Linked DNA regions of Nothobranchius furzeri. The protein of the gene in region 2 binds, or shares a complex with, the protein of the main gene of each other region. Links are inferred from orthologs where the notes say so. Each region holds a gene or a part of one and is shown on either strand. Other genes may lie near its edges.

Region 1 (3,820 bases), on a different chromosome or scaffold from region 2:
CGATCTACGTTCCAACCTTCATCTATGCTCATGAGCTTTGGGTTCATGTACGTAAGACGACGAAGAGTTTTTTTTTTCTTTTGGGTGGCTGGGCTCTCTTTTAGAGATGTGGTGAGAAGCTCGGTCATCCAGGAGGGGTTTGGAGTAGATCTGCTGTTCCTCTATATTAAAAGGAACCAGTAAAGGTGGCTTGTACATCTGGTTAGGATCTCTCTTGGATACATCCTTGGTGAGGTTTTTCGAGCACATCCAACTGGTAGGAGACGTAAATGAAGACCAAGGACCTCTCTTCTTATGGGCTCGACACACGGGAGGTGACATCGCCTCTCCTCCATTCATTTTCAATGAGACATGCACGACAAAGCGATAATCGCGGGTCTCTCTCCTACTAAGCGAAACGCGAAAAATGTGCGTGTGAAATTTTGCACTCGTGCATGTGCCGTGCACGGACGACCCAGCGACGCGATCCCAGAAAGTTGAAACATTTTCAACTTTTCATCTCTGTCGCTCGGACGAGGACCAATCAACGGAGGTTTCATTCACTGACCAATGAGCGGACATTATGCTCCGCACATCTCCGAGCAAACATGAAGGAGAAGTTTATTATTATTATGTTTTATAGTAAAATCAGAAGTAAGATTTCACATAACTCTAGCAGCACCTTGTGAAACATTATATCTACCACTTTATTAACTCTGAACCGCTTAAATAACCTTAATTCCCTCCAACCTGACACAGCCAAAAAAAACTACGGAAGTTTCGATTTCGCCACGGAACAGAACGCGTAGACGGCTTTGCCGCTGGCCGCTGCCGCGGATCGCCTCCCGTGTGACAGGTAATAAAAGCGACAGCGACAAATTTCGCTGATCGCGGCCGTTTGTCGCCTCCCGTGTGTCGAGCCTATTAGGCTGCTGTCCCCGCAGCCCAACCCCAGAAGATAAGCAGGATATGGATGGAGAGATGGATCGAAGGTTACTGAATAATTCTTGATTTCCACATCAGCAGCCAAGTTACTGAAGACATTGTTCATCTAAAAGAGTTATGGAAGTAAATTATGCGGAAGTAGTTTCATGCTCCTATTTTATTGTTTCCGTCAGCATTACACTTTTACCACCTGAAGCTGTTTGAGCTTTGAGTGACACAGTAGATTGGTTTTTCTTTATTGCACAAGCAGAATAAGAGAGCAGCACTGCTTGGTGAATTAGTGCATTGGTCAGCAGCAGCAGCAGCCCTTTCTTTGGGTGGAGCTTTGGCAGTATGCTGTCTAACAGATAGAGATCAGTGTTGGCTCAGCCTCGGGGCTTCGCTGGGCATTCCCTCTCCTTTGTGCCTTCCTCACAATGTCACTCAGAAATGTTCAGACACAAGGACACACATGAATCAGACAGGGAAATGGGAAATACGGATGAGGCACCAGCAGTTTGGTCAGGATGAGTGGTTTTTGGTGTGTCACAGTTAGCCTCAGGGAGTCTTTTGACTCTCCTGCCCCACCATGTCCCCCTTCTCATATGTCACTCGGCTGGGGGTCCCCTGCCCACCACTTCAGGGGCCCCAATGTGGCTGTGCTAATGCCAAAAATAACCTCTGTTAATGGAGGGGAGGCAGAGGGGACAGATCAATAGGAGTTATCAATGTCATTGTTAGCTTCCTGTAAGCGAACTTATTGTTTGTGTCCAGAGTGCTCTCGTTGCCCCGAGCTATTCCTGACCACTCTGTCAGCAGCAGATGTGACAAAAATCCTCCCAGGTTCATCCTTTCATTTGGGCCGATTAAATTTCTCTTTAGTATTTATACATACTAAAATGTGGAGCATGTTTCTTTTTGTCCTTAAATCAAATTCCATTTTTTTTAATATGGCGATTTCAGACAGAGACACAAAAGCTGCAGAAAGCCAACAACCTGGAGACAAAGAGCAGGACCATCACAGACTAGACGGGTCAAGCTGTAATTTGACCCTGTTTATGAATAGAAGACTCCAAAATAGAAGATTCATAAAAATAACTCATGCTGCGTACATAAAGAAGACAGGAATAAAGTATCAATTAAGTGCTGACATTAATACATTAAGGCTTGATAAACATTCTTGTATGCAGATACTTCAGGTCTGTAGATGGCTCCTGACTGACAGCAAGCTTCACAATGCACTTGTGAATAAATCCACCCACTGTCAAGAATTCATAAAAAAAATATCAATTAATCAACCAACCAACCAACCAACCAATCAATCAATTAATTAATTAATTAAGGAAAATTCATAAAAGTATAAAAAAAATATTTTAACCCTCTGGAGGCAGGCGTTGCAGATTTGCAACGTTAAAACCTACCGACCTGGTTACTCCACATACCTATTTCATGAGCATTTTTTAACTCAGAAGTACCCCTGAAGGACTTATTCGTCCTTTTATCAAAACTTATTTTGAGCCCGAGAGAGTTAATTTTGGAGCTTGAAAATGTTTTTCTTTTTTTATTTGTTATTTGCAGTTCAGTACTTTCCACATAGTCATGAGATTGATGGACAAAGCCATCAGAAGCATCCTGCCTTGTTGCAGCAGGATCACCAGAGCTAAAGGACATGACGCAGATGGTCTGTATCAATCTAATTTTCAGGCTCATTGGTGTTTTCAATGTGTTAAATTGCACTAGTGTGTTTTTGGCATTGTTTTTACATCAATGTGGCCAATAAAGTCTCTTCTCAGAGCCAATGTGCATACGTCTCAGATAACACACACACACACACACACACAGTTTCTTAGTTACACATCGTCTAACTTTTAAACTCCCTCCATGTGTCATTTATCTGTTTGCAACATGAAACATTGCACATTTCAACGTGTGGAGATCAGAAGACAGCACAGCTTTGTGTAACTGAAATAGAGTGTATGCAGGGCTCTCCTTGCAGCCCCTGCAAACACACAAATCAGCAGATATGTGTAACTGATTACTGCAGTCGCTGTTGTTGCTGCATGAAATGTGTTCTTTGTACAGTAATTCTCTCAGGTGTTAACAGCAAATCTCCCTTCCCTTCTCATGCGTTCCACACACCCCCTGGGAACTGACAAAACACTTAGCACTTTTGTTTTACAGTTACAAGTCTCATGCTGCACGAGTCGCACTTAAACATAAACACATTTGTGCAAATGCACTCTGTGTACCTTTAATAAAGATGTGCCTAATACGTGCAGACTAATGGACAAATCAAAACGTTTATTTAAATAAACTTATTGCAGTAAATTCCAGTTCTCTTCAGATGCTTCAATGCTTTGTGCACTGGTCACCTAGAGCGTGTCTGTTGCCCTGTCTGTCTTTGAGTGGGGTGGGGGGGTGCGTGCGTGTGTCCTTACCACAGTTTGGCGGTGTCAGTTTGGACAGCAGCTTGCGTGCCCCTCCGTCCTCAATGCAGCGCAGCTCTTGAGTGTCTGCTTCCTCTGCCAACCACAGTTTGATCCACATGTTCTCACAGGAGCAATGCAGAGGATTCCCTGACAGGATCCTTCACACACACACACACACACACACACACACACACACACACACACACACACACACACACACACACACACACACACACACACACACATGCAAGCATGCAAAACAGCAGGAGCTACTGTAAAGATTTGACAATAATTTGTTGTTGTTGTTTGTTGTAAAACTGTGACTTATCAACTTTAAAGGCACACTTGCCAGTTGTGCTTGCCTTTAGCACCTCCTAGTGTCAGTTATTAGTTCTCTGTGGTTAAACCAAAAACAAAACTGATCTCCTCGCTGTGCGTTTGTCTTTTTAACACCTTAAAGCTGAAAGGTCTCCCCAGCCTTCATTAAT
Region 2 (3,820 bases):
CACACACACACACACACACACACACACACACACACACACACACACACACACACACACACACACACACACACACACACACACACACACACACACACACACACGTTTTAGAGTTGAACAGCAACAAGGTGGCTAAAGATGTTTCCTCAGCTGATTAGAAGGATTCATCCTTCCATAAACTCCTCCAGGTCTCCCTTCACCTGTCCTCCTCCTGATTTACCTGCGACAGGTAAGCTTCTGACACACTCAGACAAGGCAGTCAGACAGTTCCCTTCACCATCTAAATGCTGAACACGACTGTTCTCAGAAATGCATCAAAGCCTTCAGAGCAGCTGCAAACCAGAAAAGTTGCAAAAACTGACGGTCATTTGAGCTCTAATGCAGACCAAGTTCTTCCAAACATCTGGACCAAATCCAGAGCAACCCCAGTGTCTACAGACAGGAAGTGGTCAGGGCTATGGTCAGGGACTCAGCCTCTTAGGGTCTGATCTGTTTGACCACAACATATTTGATGAAACCAAACCCTAAAGTCACCAGACAGGCACCGTACAACTCCCCAGTACACTAGTGGCCCCATCAGCCTTAGCTACAGCTTCTAAGCTCGACTCTCCCATATTCCCGTCTGAACTGACAGAGCTCCTTGGACGAGAAGTGAAACCAAAGAAATCCAGTTGCCTTCATTAAACCCATTTTGGATCATTTTGAGTTGTTGCATTTATTGGAAAAAGAACCTTAACATAAGGATTTTAATTTAAATAAGTTTTGAACATGAAAAGTAATCAAATACTTTTTGGATTCATCTGTTCTGCAGTTCATCTGGTATGCGAGATTGTCATTCAGACATGTATAAACAGGAAAAGAACATATTGCAATAAGTATCATCACCACATGAGCTTCAGAAATGAGGGCGATAGAGATTTTAGGCCACATCGCCCATTCCTAGAGTTAACAACTCAAAAACATCCTAAAATTCTAATTAGCATGGGGTAATGTGGGTAACCAGCAGGTCTTAGCTTAGATACCAAGTCCAACAAACGCTCAGCAGACACGGGGGCCATCAACACAAGAGCAGGTCAGCCCACTAACTCCATCACAGCGCTAACGTGCCCCTGGTTGGTCTAAGCCACAGGTGTCAACTCCAGCCGTCCAGGGCCGGTGTCCTGCATCTTTTTGTTGTTTCCCTGTTCCAACACAGTCGATCCACCTGTGCAGCAGCTCATCAAGCTCTCCAGAAGCCTGCTAATCACCTGTTGGTTGGAATCAGGTGTGTTGAAACAGGAAAACACTACAACAGGTGGGAGAGCGGCCCTCGAGGACCAGAGTTTTGGGCCATTCCCATCTGTACCGGGTCGGCCCGGGCCAGGTAGCCCCAGTCGGCCCCAGCCTGGCCCGGTTGATTCCACACATCCTTGTCTTAAGCCCATGTGGGCTGATTCTACCCACCAATCAGAGGCTTGCTCTAATGGAAGGTGTGAATTTGCTGTCAGCAGTGGGTGTGTTGGCCCTGGTCGGCCTGAAGCAGACCCCCTCGAGAAGAGGGCTGAGAATGAGCCTTGGTTGGCCCGGAAAAATACCAGGCCACCCAGATATGTAAACAACCTACGCTACCCGGCCCGGGCCGACCCGGTACAGATGGGAATGGCCCATTTGACACCTGTGGAGAGACGACAGTCTGGGGCTGAACCAGGAGGTCTAATGGGACAACGTGGAGTTGACTTCAACACCTGACAGACGAGGAAGAGGGAAAACACATCCAAAGGCCGCAAACACACGAGTCACTGAGACTGTAGGGTGCACAAAACCAACACACATATTGATCCCTGTGTATCCACAGCACAATCAATACTGATCAGCTGATCAGCCTACCCATCTGAGACTTACCAATACCACCCCAACCCTGAGCAGACCATGGTCCAGACAGCATGCATGAGAAACATTAGACACAGAGCAACTTTAGCCAAATGCCACCACATTTCCTACCTTACCTGTTGGTTTTACCTGAGGCTGAACAGGAAGTTGATGAACTAGTCCAGAGGTTCTGGCTGCTTTCTGACTATAGATATCTTACAAGTACTGATCCAACTTAGTTCAATGAGATCAGAAAAAAATGGTGGGTGCCACCTCTGACTGCAGAGGGCCACAAAGGTTATTGTGGCCCAGAAGCACCTTTCTGGGTTAGGGCTGTCACTCTCTAAGAGCTCGTCGTTAAGCCACACCCTTGCTGAGCAGCTACGTGGCGTTTTCAGTATTAAAATGCCCCATCGCTGACAGGCGTGAGCTGATTGGTTAGCATGGCCAGTGTGGAGCAGGTTACTCGGATAGGCATGTGTACCTTGGCCTGTCTGGCAGCGCCGGCCACTCTCAAATGAGAACAGGTTGGAGTCATAGCCGTAACGTCGCAGACACAGGTATGGCCACCTGACATCATCGCGGCGATGGGTGTGAAGGACGAGTTCTGATTCGGTCAGCTCCATGACACCTGAGCCCAGCTCGTTTCCATCATCGTCAACATTAATCACCTGGAAGCAAACACAGTCACATTTTTCCTCTTAATAATGACACAGATTCTTTACTCGCTTTAACGAGCGCTGTCTCTCCATCCTGGACAACATCTGTCCTGTCAGAGCCCGATCAGCTCCTGCAGTGAACCCTACTTTCTGGTTTAACTTCAGCCTGAAGCAACAGTGCAGAAAAGTTGAGCGCTTGTGGAAGAAAACCCGTCTCCACGTCCATCTGCTGCATCTAAAGGACCTTCTGACCTCCTTTAACTCTGCAGTCAGAGACGTGAGGGTTGCCTATTTCTCCATCCTGGTGTCCCAGAGCAAAGGGAACCCCAAGGTGCCGTTTATGTAGTAAGAAATCACAATGTAGCCATGGAAGCGCTACTTGGGATATAAGTTGTTAGTGTGTGTGTGCCTGCGAACTTCTCCATCCCTAGTGAGTTGTGGCGGATGGCTGCTTATTGCTAGGTTTCACATGACGTTACCTAGATGTCACCAAATGCAGATGGGGGTCCGGAAGTGGCAGGCACTGCACAAAATGCTGTTTACTTTGATAACTGGGCATTAAAATGCCCAAATCCTATGAGGTCTACGGTTAATATAATCACTAAGGCTCCTCCCCTTCCGGTCGGCTCATGGGTCCCCGGAGGAACGAAAAAATGAATGCAAGTCAATGGGGATAAAAGCCATCTCCTAACCCGCTCTGCCTTACGCCCTGGATCACACAAGTTGTACGTCTATTTAAGTGAAAAGTAATGATGATGTTTCGACCACGCCAGTCACGTACTGTGAGATTTATCAGCTGGTAAAAGTTTGTAATTAGCATGACTACACACCAGATGTCGGTATGTCGCATATATGACGTCACCACAGAATCTCCTCCCCCTAGCGTAGCTGCTACTTACCACATGACCTGATTTATGGTGGCTGTTTCCTTCTGAAGAAAGGACTAGTGATGCACCGATTAGTGATGCACCGATATTACATTTTTGGATATATTAAGATATTAATATATATTAAGATATTAAGATCACTGGTGTGGCCGATAACCGATACTCATGATACAGATATTCTGACATTAATGCTTCTAAAATAAGCAGATTTTGTATAGAATGAAATAATTTAAGCTGAATTTATGTTATTACGCACGCACGCACGCACGCACGCACACGCACACACGCACACACACACACACACACGCTTCTGAGATGATTTCATTCACATCACCACCCCCACCCTCTGAAACAGGCAAACAAATTGAGACGAGATGGAAAAAATATCGGTTGTTAATATGGGCCCGGTTTGATTTATCGAACCAATAC

What was found.
Region 1: the proteins of fibroblast growth factor receptor substrate 2 (region 2) and ntrk2a are in contact, whole or in part, in an NMR structure (PDB 2MFQ), measured with the Homo sapiens proteins. The link is inferred for Nothobranchius furzeri from reciprocal best matches to the Homo sapiens genes FRS2 and NTRK2. Residues at the interface, in NP_001036020.1 of Homo sapiens: Val26, Asp27, Asp28, Asp29, Gly30, Tyr59, Leu60, Cys61, Leu62, Arg63, Arg64, Tyr65, Gly66, Tyr67, Asp68, Ser69, Asn70, Leu71, Phe72, Ser73, Gly77, Arg78, Ile86, Ala88, Lys90, Phe98, Gln102, Met105, Gln106, Ser109; in NP_001018074.1 of Homo sapiens: Pro498, Asp499, Val501, Ile503, Gly504, Met505, Thr506, Lys507, Ile508, Pro509, Val510, Ile511, Glu512, Asn513, Pro514, Gln515, Tyr516, Gly518, Ile519.

What each region holds. Positions count from the first base shown.
Region 1 is NC_091757.1:48,553,677-48,557,496, forward strand, and holds part of ntrk2a (BDNF/NT-3 growth factors receptor), read right to left. Parts: intron 3,491-3,820; coding exon 3,342-3,490; intron 1-3,341. UniProt on the Homo sapiens protein: Receptor tyrosine kinase involved in the development and the maturation of the central and the peripheral nervous systems through regulation of neuron survival, proliferation, migration, differentiation, and synapse formation and plasticity.
Region 2 is NC_091744.1:79,870,615-79,874,434, forward strand, and holds part of fibroblast growth factor receptor substrate 2, read right to left. Parts: intron 2,517-3,820; coding exon 2,330-2,516; intron 1-2,329. UniProt on the Homo sapiens protein: Adapter protein that links activated FGR and NGF receptors to downstream signaling pathways.